3 linked regions of the Saccharomyces cerevisiae S288C genome follow. The protein of the gene in region 2 interacts with the protein of the main gene of each other region in a biochemical or structural test. Each region holds a gene or a part of one and is shown on either strand. Other genes may lie near its edges.

Evidence for each region.
Region 1: of the proteins of SLT2 (region 2) and SDP1, one has a biochemical effect on the other in vitro, tested with the Saccharomyces cerevisiae proteins (3 studies listed by BioGRID, with this or other methods).
Region 3: of the proteins of SLT2 (region 2) and MSG5, one has a biochemical effect on the other in vitro, tested with the Saccharomyces cerevisiae proteins (6 studies listed by BioGRID, with this or other methods).

Annotation. Positions count from the first base shown.
Region 1 is NC_001141.2:148,797-151,688, reverse strand, and holds SDP1 (mitogen-activated protein kinase tyrosine protein phosphatase SDP1), read right to left. Parts: upstream 1,131-2,892; coding exon 501-1,130; downstream 1-500. Other genes in the region: HOS4 (Hos4p), read right to left, coding at 1-94; putative porin POR2, read left to right, coding at 1,701-2,546. UniProt on the Saccharomyces cerevisiae protein: Mediates dephosphorylation of MAPK substrates such as SLT2, acquiring enhanced catalytic activity under oxidative conditions.
Region 2 is NC_001140.6:167,666-172,227, reverse strand, and holds SLT2 (mitogen-activated serine/threonine-protein kinase SLT2), read left to right. Parts: upstream 1-1,883; coding exon 1,884-3,338; downstream 3,339-4,562. Other genes in the region: RRM3 (DNA helicase), read left to right, coding at 1-1,429; YHI9 (Yhi9p), read left to right, coding at 3,667-4,551. UniProt on the Saccharomyces cerevisiae protein: Serine/threonine protein kinase involved in a signal transduction pathway that plays a role in yeast cell morphogenesis and cell growth.
Region 3 is NC_001146.8:527,956-531,911, reverse strand, and holds MSG5 (tyrosine/serine/threonine protein phosphatase MSG5), read right to left. Parts: upstream 1,971-3,956; coding exon 501-1,970; downstream 1-500. Other genes in the region: COX5A (cytochrome c oxidase subunit Va), read right to left, coding at 1-187; VAC7 (Vac7p), read right to left, coding at 2,329-3,956. UniProt on the Saccharomyces cerevisiae protein: Dual specificity phosphatase that dephosphorylates MAP kinase FUS3 on both a Tyr and a Ser or Thr. Has a role in adaptation to pheromone.

The sequences.
Region 1 (2,892 bases), on a different chromosome or scaffold from region 2:
TCTTTTCCAGCTCCTCCCGTCTCGTGCTCACGTTTGAAAGATAGCTGCTCAGGGACCTTTTCTTTAGCGGCTGTTTTGTAGTAGTCTCATTCATATTGTCATGAATCTCTACAGCAATTCTTCTCTGTCACATATAATAATATCCTTTGTTGCTTTGTGTAACTTACTACATAGTTTTCTCAATATACACATTGATTTAGCATCACAAGAAAACTTGTTACCCGGAATAAACTAGTATGAACCGTACAGTAAATGCGCAAATTATATTGAGAACTTCGTACAAGAACCCTACCAAATCCAAACCTTGTTCTTCTAAGGACGAGTCACTTCCTGAGCCTTGATTTGGAAAAGGCTCTCAATAAGAGAAACTAAAAGCTCAGAACAGAGCATGAAACAAAGCGAAGAAATACGGAATTATTTATAAAGTACAGAAGAAAAAAAGAGCATCGTGCCCCTCAATAAAGCCTCATTGAATGCTATATCTTTTTTTTTTTTCTCTCTCACGGTACTTTTCTATAACTGTTGGCTTGCACGTTAGTCTTCGCGTTAAGAGCAACCTCCCATTCCATCAACTGGAAAATAAGCCCTATGGAAGGGTTTATCTTGTCTGCCCTTGATTTCAACAGATCATATGAGTGCCTCAGACTCAAGTTATGATATTTCATTATATATGCAATAATCAGCGTTGCGGATCTCGACAGCCCACATTGGCAATGTATCAGTATCTTCTCTCGCTTAGTCGTAGCTGCGTGTATGATGCTAGTCAATGATGGCAAGTCCAACGCAATCTGCGAATCATGTTCCCATCGGTAGTGATGGTACTCGACAGCAGGAACCTGCATTCGTAAATCGTTTGCCTCTTCAGCAACGTTGATGACCACATCAAAGGGTAAAAGCTCTTTTACCGTGGGCTCTGAATAAAGGTAGATCTTTTCCGGGAGAACAAGTAATGGGCCTTTTGGGTAGATTCTGCGCACGTCCAAACTCGAACAAGGCACGAATTCACGGTCTTCATTCGGGCTTTCTTTGTCCGTAGACCTCTCATCTGTGGCCAGCATAGGAAGAGATGGTCTTTGGCCACTCTTTGGTGCGATGTTCGGTGTTCGCGTGGGTGATGTGTATATGTTCATGCGAGATTATGGCTACAAGTGCGCAGCCGTATGTGTTATTTTAGATAATAGATTATCTTCAACTTTGTTGCTGATCTTGTCTTACTCGTTCTTTTATATCACCCAGTATACCATAAAGGGGATAAGAACTGATTAAAGTTATTCGCTGCGGCAACCTAATTAGGAAGTTGCCTGTTCCAGAAGGGGAGTTGCCAAGGCCGCGCCGTACGACGCAAAAACCCTTTTCTATCTGGAAGATATCTCCTATTCCAATAGTGTGCGCCCTGCCTAGCAAATGAGACGAATAACGGATTCCGCAGAAATGACACACTGCAAAATCTGTTCGTAGTTTTCAGCATTTAAAAGTTTAGTTCTTTTTCTATGCTGCGACTGAGCTTCTGCATTTTTTAACCAAATACTAATTTGTCTTACATGATTGAAAGCGCCTTTAGCAATTCCTTTCCTTTTTTCTCGCTTCCAATTGCAGAAATGGAACAAAAAGAAAAGAAAGAATAGTGAAGATGGAGCTCTTCTGTTTTATTCTCGAGTGAAGGAATTGCATGAAGAGGAAAGTGTTAGAAATTACCTACGATGGCACTACGATTTTTCAACGATATATCTAGAGATGTCAATGGCCTATTCAATAGGGACTTTTTTCACACCAACCCCCTCTCTTTGAATATTTCAACAACCACGGAAAATGGTGTGAATTTTACTCTGAAGGCGAAGCAGGGCGTGACAGAAGGCCCCATCCAAACTAGCGTAGAAGGACGGTTTTATGACAGGAAGGAGGGAGTGTCGCTATCTCAGAGTTGGTCGAACCAGAACAGGTTAAATACAAGAATCGAATTTTCCAAGATAGCACCTGGTTGGAAAGGTGATGTCAACGCATTTTTGACTCCCCAATCCATCAAGAACGCCAAATTTAATTTGAGCTACGCCCAAAAATCGTTTGCAGCAAGAACTTCTATAGACATCTTGCAACCTAAGGACTTTGTCGGAAGTGTTACTTTGGGCCACCGCGGGTTTGTTGGCGGCACTGACATCGCATATGACACAGCTGCGGGTTTATGTGCACGCTATGCTATGTCAATCGGGTATCTTGCCAGAGAATATTCGTTTATTTTGTCTACTAACAACAGGCAATGCGCAACTGCTTCATTTTTTCAAAACGTTAACCGCTATTTGCAAGTGGGAACTAAAGCCACTTTACAATCGAAGACAAGTTCTAATATGAACATTGAATTTGTTACCAGATACGTACCAGATTCTATTTCGCAAGTTAAGGCAAAAATTGCAGATTCAGGCCTGACTACATTGTCGTACAAGCGAAATTTGAATAAAGATATTTCTTTGGGTGTGGGTATGTCTTTCAATGCGCTACAACTGACTGAACCAGTCCACAAATTTGGCTGGTCTCTATCGTTCTCGCCCTGAGAGATTTTATTTTCTTATAAATTTTACTAAATAAGGATTTGTACTTTTGATAGAGTTTTTTTTTTTTCTGACGTTTGTTTAGTTAATATTATATAATAGTATTTAGGAAACTAGGTGGGAGGGGACATCGCAACTTTTATCGTGACCTACGACCAGTGTTTTTTCAATTGTTTGATCAAAAGAGAAAAAAAGACAAAGGACCGAAGGATAGTTGCACGCATAAACTGGAGAAAAAATTGTGTTTGACATCGGCGTTTAGGCTTGTTTGTTCTGTCACACATACGCTGCTTCACACCAATTCATATTTCTCAGGTTAATTTGTCTCCTCTCCAACTTCAATAACGAT
Region 2 (4,562 bases):
AAATGTCTTTTACACCGGTAGTGCGGGTACAGGTAAGTCGGTCATTTTGCAAACGATCATAAGACAATTGAGCTCTTTGTATGGGAAAGAATCAATTGCAATTACCGCCTCAACTGGGCTAGCGGCAGTGACTATTGGTGGTTCCACATTGCATAAGTGGTCTGGTATAGGAATCGGGAACAAAACTATCGACCAATTGGTGAAAAAAATACAATCACAAAAGGACTTATTGGCCGCATGGAGGTATACAAAAGTTTTGATAATTGATGAAATTTCTATGGTCGATGGTAATCTGTTGGATAAATTAGAGCAAATCGCAAGGAGAATTCGGAAGAACGACGATCCCTTTGGTGGTATTCAATTGGTCCTGACAGGCGATTTTTTTCAACTACCACCAGTTGCTAAGAAGGACGAGCATAACGTTGTGAAATTTTGTTTTGAAAGTGAAATGTGGAAACGGTGCATTCAAAAAACGATTTTACTGACAAAGGTTTTCAGACAACAGGATAACAAACTAATTGATATTCTAAATGCCATAAGATACGGAGAGCTGACTGTCGACATTGCTAAAACAATAAGGAACCTAAATAGGGATATAGACTATGCCGATGGAATTGCTCCTACAGAACTGTATGCCACAAGAAGAGAAGTTGAACTATCCAACGTAAAGAAATTACAGTCTCTACCTGGTGATTTATATGAGTTTAAAGCTGTAGATAACGCGCCCGAGAGATACCAAGCGATACTAGATTCTTCATTAATGGTGGAAAAAGTTGTCGCATTGAAGGAAGATGCACAGGTAATGATGTTGAAAAATAAGCCTGATGTAGAATTAGTTAATGGATCATTGGGAAAAGTTTTGTTTTTTGTTACAGAATCGCTGGTGGTGAAAATGAAGGAAATTTACAAGATTGTGGATGACGAAGTTGTCATGGACATGAGATTAGTGAGTCGGGTCATTGGTAATCCCTTGTTAAAGGAATCAAAGGAGTTTCGTCAAGATTTGAATGCCAGGCCATTAGCTAGATTGGAACGTTTGAAAATCTTGATAAACTATGCAGTTAAGATCTCTCCGCATAAGGAAAAATTCCCCTATGTGAGGTGGACAGTGGGTAAAAACAAGTACATACATGAGCTCATGGTCCCAGAGCGCTTTCCCATTGATATTCCCAGAGAAAATGTCGGGTTAGAAAGAACTCAGATTCCATTAATGCTATGCTGGGCACTGTCCATTCATAAGGCACAGGGTCAAACTATTCAAAGACTAAAGGTCGACTTGAGGAGAATTTTCGAAGCCGGCCAAGTTTATGTTGCACTGTCAAGAGCGGTAACTATGGACACCTTACAGGTCCTAAACTTTGATCCAGGAAAGATTCGCACCAATGAAAGAGTAAAAGATTTCTATAAACGTTTAGAAACTTTGAAATGACTTGCAACGAATAAATGCATATACTCTAGTTGAAGTTTTCTTTTCTTGTTCTATACAGGTTCGAATACTTGTGAGCCTATCTGTATAATTTAACAGAATCCCGAAATATTCATCTAGAAGCCATCTATTTAGCTAAGCCTACGTATGCGGCGATTTTTATATTATCTTTTTTTTTTTTTATAGAAGACTGCGAAATGTTGGCAGAATGGAAAGTTTCAGTGTTAAAAATAGAAACTGAAAAAGGAGATCTAGCCAGGAATATATCGAAAAAAAAAGTGAGGGAAATCAGATCCTACACAAATATTTAGATTTAATTGAAGACCCTGGTCTGCCAGATATATATATATATTAGACGAACTGTGCATTCAGTCAGCAAATCTAGGCCACAGATTTTCTTATTGAAGCTATCAAAATAGTAGAAATAATTGAAGGGCGTGTATAACAATTCTGGGAGATGGCTGATAAGATAGAGAGGCATACTTTCAAGGTCTTCAATCAAGATTTCAGTGTAGATAAGAGGTTTCAACTTATCAAAGAAATAGGGCATGGAGCATACGGCATAGTGTGTTCAGCGCGGTTTGCAGAAGCTGCCGAAGATACCACAGTTGCCATCAAGAAAGTGACAAACGTTTTTTCGAAGACCTTACTATGTAAAAGATCCCTACGTGAGCTAAAGCTTTTGAGACATTTCAGAGGCCACAAAAATATTACATGTCTTTATGATATGGATATTGTTTTTTATCCAGACGGGTCTATCAATGGACTATATCTTTATGAGGAACTTATGGAATGTGATATGCACCAAATCATCAAATCCGGTCAACCTTTGACGGATGCTCACTATCAAAGTTTCACATACCAAATATTATGTGGTTTAAAGTATATTCATTCTGCAGATGTCTTGCATCGTGATTTGAAGCCCGGCAATTTGCTTGTCAATGCAGATTGTCAATTGAAAATCTGTGATTTTGGGTTAGCTAGAGGTTATTCGGAGAATCCTGTCGAAAACAGTCAATTTTTGACGGAGTACGTGGCCACTAGATGGTATAGAGCTCCGGAAATAATGTTGAGTTACCAAGGATATACCAAGGCGATTGACGTATGGTCAGCTGGCTGTATTTTAGCGGAGTTTCTTGGTGGAAAGCCAATCTTCAAAGGAAAGGATTACGTTAATCAATTGAATCAAATATTACAAGTTTTAGGGACACCCCCAGACGAAACTTTAAGAAGGATTGGTTCTAAAAATGTTCAGGACTACATACATCAATTAGGTTTCATTCCAAAAGTACCTTTTGTCAATTTATACCCAAATGCCAATTCACAAGCATTAGACTTATTGGAGCAAATGCTCGCGTTTGACCCTCAAAAGAGAATTACCGTGGATGAGGCCCTGGAGCATCCTTACTTGTCTATATGGCATGATCCAGCTGACGAACCTGTGTGTAGTGAAAAATTCGAATTTAGTTTTGAATCGGTTAATGATATGGAGGACTTAAAACAAATGGTTATACAAGAAGTGCAAGATTTCAGGCTGTTTGTGAGACAACCGCTATTAGAAGAGCAAAGGCAATTACAATTACAGCAGCAGCAACAGCAGCAGCAACAGCAACAGCAACAGCAACAGCAGCCTTCAGATGTGGATAATGGCAACGCCGCAGCGAGTGAAGAAAATTATCCAAAACAGATGGCCACGTCTAATTCTGTTGCGCCACAACAAGAATCATTTGGTATTCACTCCCAAAATTTGCCAAGGCATGATGCAGATTTCCCACCTCGACCTCAAGAGAGTATGATGGAGATGAGACCTGCCACTGGAAATACCGCAGATATTCCGCCTCAGAATGATAACGGCACGCTTCTAGACCTTGAAAAAGAGCTGGAGTTTGGATTAGATAGAAAATATTTTTAGGACAAAAAACTATAAGTAACCGGGGAAGTATAGAATCACCATAGATGTAAGCTTACAGACAATGTGTATATATGATGTATATGAACGTATACAAATATATATATATATACGTGCTCTTGTTGTAGCTCGTATATCAAATTCCTCCTCCGACGCTTATCTTAATCGTACTCCGCGGAAGTTTGTTATCGCCTCTTGAATTCTTTCTTTTCGTTCATTTATGATTAGTCATCTATAGACAATATTCATTATTTAAGCACCTAGAATACTAAACTAAATGTCTAAATATGACACAAGGAAGATAAGATAAAAAAAACCAAGCGCTTAGAATATGACTTTAATGGTACCTTTCAAACAAGTTGATGTATTCACTGAGAAGCCCTTTATGGGAAATCCAGTAGCAGTAATAAACTTCTTGGAAATTGATGAAAATGAAGTCAGTCAAGAAGAATTGCAGGCAATTGCCAACTGGACAAACTTATCAGAAACAACGTTTTTATTTAAACCATCTGATAAAAAGTATGATTACAAGTTGAGGATCTTTACTCCAAGAAGTGAATTGCCATTTGCTGGTCACCCAACCATTGGTTCATGTAAGGCTTTCCTTGAGTTCACCAAAAACACCACTGCGACTTCTCTCGTCCAGGAATGTAAAATAGGCGCTGTTCCAATAACAATTAATGAGGGACTAATTAGCTTCAAAGCTCCGATGGCTGATTACGAAAGTATATCGAGTGAGATGATTGCTGATTATGAAAAAGCGATTGGTTTGAAATTCATAAAGCCTCCTGCTCTTTTACATACTGGGCCAGAGTGGATCGTGGCGCTAGTAGAAGATGCAGAAACTTGCTTCAATGCAAACCCAAATTTTGCTATGCTTGCACACCAGACAAAACAGAATGACCATGTGGGAATTATCCTAGCGGGCCCTAAAAAGGAAGCCGCCATCAAAAACTCCTACGAAATGAGGGCGTTTGCTCCGGTGATAAACGTTTATGAAGATCCTGTTTGTGGTAGTGGTTCTGTAGCCCTTGCAAGATATTTGCAAGAAGTTTATAAGTTTGAGAAAACCACGGATATTACCATTTCTGAGGGTGGAAGGTTAAAAAGAAATGGCCTAATGTTAGCTTCAATTAAGAAAGAAGCTGATAATAGCACTTCCTACTATATAGCAGGTCATGCCACTACCGTTATTGATGGTAAGATCAAAGTTTAGGATTCTAAACG
Region 3 (3,956 bases), on a different chromosome or scaffold from region 2:
GTGCCCATGGTAATTTTTGACGTTCACTCAACTTACTGACAATATCCTGCTGCTCAGTGGAGGGCATGTTCTCCCATCTGGATTGCAGATCCATTACAGCAGCGTTGGAAAGAGCATGTGTTTGAGCGAATCTTACGGATGTAATACGTGATAGTCCACCAGCTCTAGTAAAAGTGTTACGTAACATTGTAGATGCGTTCTTAGTTGATCTTGTGTTTGGTGCATTGCTTGCAAACAGAAGACAAAATACGAGGACTGATGGTTCTTATTTAATTGATTGTTCTTTTTAACTTTTCGCCGCCGCTTGTATCGGCGCAAAACGTAGGGCCAATCACAAACGAGGAAAACGTCTATTGGACGATTTTTGCAATGTGACACTTACAATGATGAATAATTACTATGTAGGCAGAAGTGCTAAGTACATTCTATTTAGAAGCGTAGGGAGGCGGTCTGCCTGCAGATCTGATAGTCATAAAGATTCTTTTGGGAGATGCTGTCCCTTAAGGAAGAAACATCATCTGTTCCGGGGCAGTAGATATTGATTCGTTGTCCACAGAAGCTTCCAGTGAATCTGCGGGTTGAGACAAACTTTTACAGTGCTCATCATCTTCCCCGCGTTCTGTGGCCAGTGCGGTCCTTGCTCCAGTCAACGTAGCAGGAGTTCTTGGCGTTACTTCCGAAGAATTGACAGAACTGTCATTCGGCGACGATGATAGATTCGTTACCATGGGAAAACTTCTAAAGGACGCAGAAGAGTAGGACTTCGTAGTCGAGGAAACTTCGTTGTTTCCGATGTCATCTTCCTCAGGCATGTGAACAGTCTCTCCTTCTTCGCCCGGTGAGTTCTTGGACAACATGGTTCCCCATTCCATAAGTTGGAAGATGAGACCCATGTTTGGACTTATATCCTTAGCAACACCTTTCAGCTTATTGTATGCATCATTTAAACTCAAGCCATAATATCGCATGATATACGCCACAATCAATGACGCCGATCTTGATACTCCACACTGACAGTGTACGAGTATTTTCTTGCCTTGCGAATGAGCGGTATGTATAATGCGTGTCAATCGGGATAAGTCCTTGACGATCTTGGATGTGTGTGTCCATTCAATATGGTAATATTTTATTTTATGTGCCATTTCCGGCGGTATTAAAAACTCCAGGTTCGGTATTTCTTTGGCAACATTAATGACTAAATCAAACGATAATATATCTTCTAGTTTGGGTTCTGAATATAGATACAAATTAGGCGGCAGTACCAGCAATGGTCCATCTAAATAAACCGTTCGTTGATAAATCTCTGCATGCACCATATCAATATTCAGATCCGAGTCCTCCTCCGGGAAAATCAATGTTGTTTGCATATTCTTTTGGTTAGAAAATCTGTTGACATCCGTACTATCTAAAGTACCTTCACGAGTACTAGAAATTGGCGTGGATGTCTCTAACCCTGAGATCGTTTGAGAACGTCCTCTAATTCCCTTCAACTTCAAGTCTTTAGTTTTCACGGATAATGAATGGACTCTATTCAGATGAGGTTTTTCTGAAAATGACGATAACGGTGATGATGATGACAGCTTACTGATAGACGATACTGTGGATGATTTTGTATACACGCTTGGAGAAACAGTTCGGTTCTTCAAAGATGTTGGTAGTGTGTATATAGAGGCCTCGCTTCGCCTCATCGACAGCGATGGTGGCGTTGGCCTTGGACTTACTTTTGGTGGACATTTCTCCAACACAATAGGTTTGGGCTTCATAAATAGATTCAAAGGTGTCGGCGATGGGAATTTTACTGAACCTGGCACATCTTGGCTTGGCGATGAGAATTCCATTAATGGATGGAGTGCTGCTATATCTAAAGATAAATTTTTGGTATTCCTATTTTGTAAGGAACGCGGTGAGTTTGGCTTGAAATCGATGTCGGTTTTACTGTCCAAATGCTGCTTATCTGAGTGAAATTGCATGTGCACTTATCGCTACCAAATGTATTACTATCGCTTCCGCTACTATTGTTGTCTTATACTTAAATGAAGAAAAAAAAAAGAATGTTTACTAAACGAGTTGCATAACCCTCACTCTTGTTTACTAAACGCTTTATTTAAAAGTAATAATAATGATATATTACACTGTATCGAATCCTATGTAACATTTTTGTATTTTTTCACTTCTAAATTTGAAATAGTCAAAGAGAAAAAAACATCAAAAAACAAACTACATTTTCCTTTTTTGGAAAGTACATTCCTGTTTTGGAAATTGCCTTCCGCTCCTGCGCTATAAAAAGAAAAATACCCAGCTTTGACGAAAAAGCTACATTCTTAACACTCACTTCTTACCAGGATGGACCATGGAATCCTTTTGAATAGCCGTAGATTTTTGCGTATTGAAAAAGGGCACCTCATACTTCATGCTTCCACGGACTATCAATTCGTAATCATGCTTGATTAGTAGCTTCCATTTTTTAGTATCATCTTCTTTGTCATCTCTAGCATTTGGTTTGCTTTTGTATTGTCTTTCATTAGTATTGTTTTCATCGTCACCATCGTCGCCATCATCATCGTCATCATCGTCGTTTTCGTGCTTGGCTTCACGAGACCCAGGACTTAAAAGCTTGACACTCGAGACTGACACATCGTAGTTCCTATTAAATGCGCCGCCCTGGAACTTTAATGGTGTCTCTAGTTTTTTAGCGGTTCCTAGTAATACCGTCTCTATGTTCCCACCACTAATATCATTATTAGCACTCTCTTCAACTAACGAAAGATTTGTCGTTATTTGTAAAATTTTCCGTTCCTGTTCCATTACTGTACAGTCACCATTAGAATCGCACTTCAGGTAAGAACTTTTTGCAAAAATGTCCAAATCGACTTGGGAAACGCTTATACTGAAGAATCCTGGATTAAAAGCACTTACTGTGATGTCGAAGATCAACTCGTCCGAACTTGAAATCACATTATCCATCACTACCACGTCTACATCTTGTAGTTCTTTATTAGTGGCCAATAAAAATCCCAGAATGAATCCTGTCATCAATAGTGATGATATAACAAATGCAAGATAAAGAAAATTCTTTACTTTCACAAATGGGGACTTCCTTGAGTAAAAGTTGTGCGGTGAGTAACCAACAATATCGTTATTATTGATATTGGAATGGGTAACGTCATCGTTACCATTCATATGGATGCTACCATTCATTATGCTATTGTTTGTTCTTGATAGGTGTCTTTGACCACGTTTCATTCTTAAGGGGGTATATTCATTCAATTGGTTGTTATTGCCAGTATTGTTGCCAACCATAAAATCGTAGTAATCATTATTTGATCTTGAAGGCATCCTTCCATGTAATGGAAGTTCGTGCGTGTTGGATGCTGAGCCATAGTAACTGTTGAAAGTAGCATTTGGGCGATCATAATCATCTACGTCTTCATCTTCACCATAATCGGATATTAGCGGTTTTGTTTCTAAATCGTTCTTATGATTATAATAAAACATGGAGTGAATATCGTTTTCATCACTTTCGTTATCTTCTGGAATAAACTCATGCTGAAGGTTAGTGTGTTGCGGTCGATTTACATTAGACGAGTCACCATTATTTTCCTCTTCAATAACATTGTTATCACCATAAAAGTTTAAACCATGGGGAAACTTATTGTTCCTGCTGTTATAAAATTCATCCTTTTTCACACTATTTTGCATTGTTGGATAATTATGCGGCTGTTCGATGTAATCTTCTAGATTAACGTGATCCGGTACCCCAGAGTATCTCCGTAAAGGAGCTCCATTAGGGTTTGAATCAAATATCTTTGACACTGTTGTTCTAAGAGGCCTTTTGTTGTCACCATAATTAGAATTTCTATTAGCAGAGGAATGTCTCAAAGTAGAATTGGAAAGAGATTTCTTCGTTGAAATATCATTGTTTGGTTCCAATTCCTGCGAATTTGTGGCAACATTGG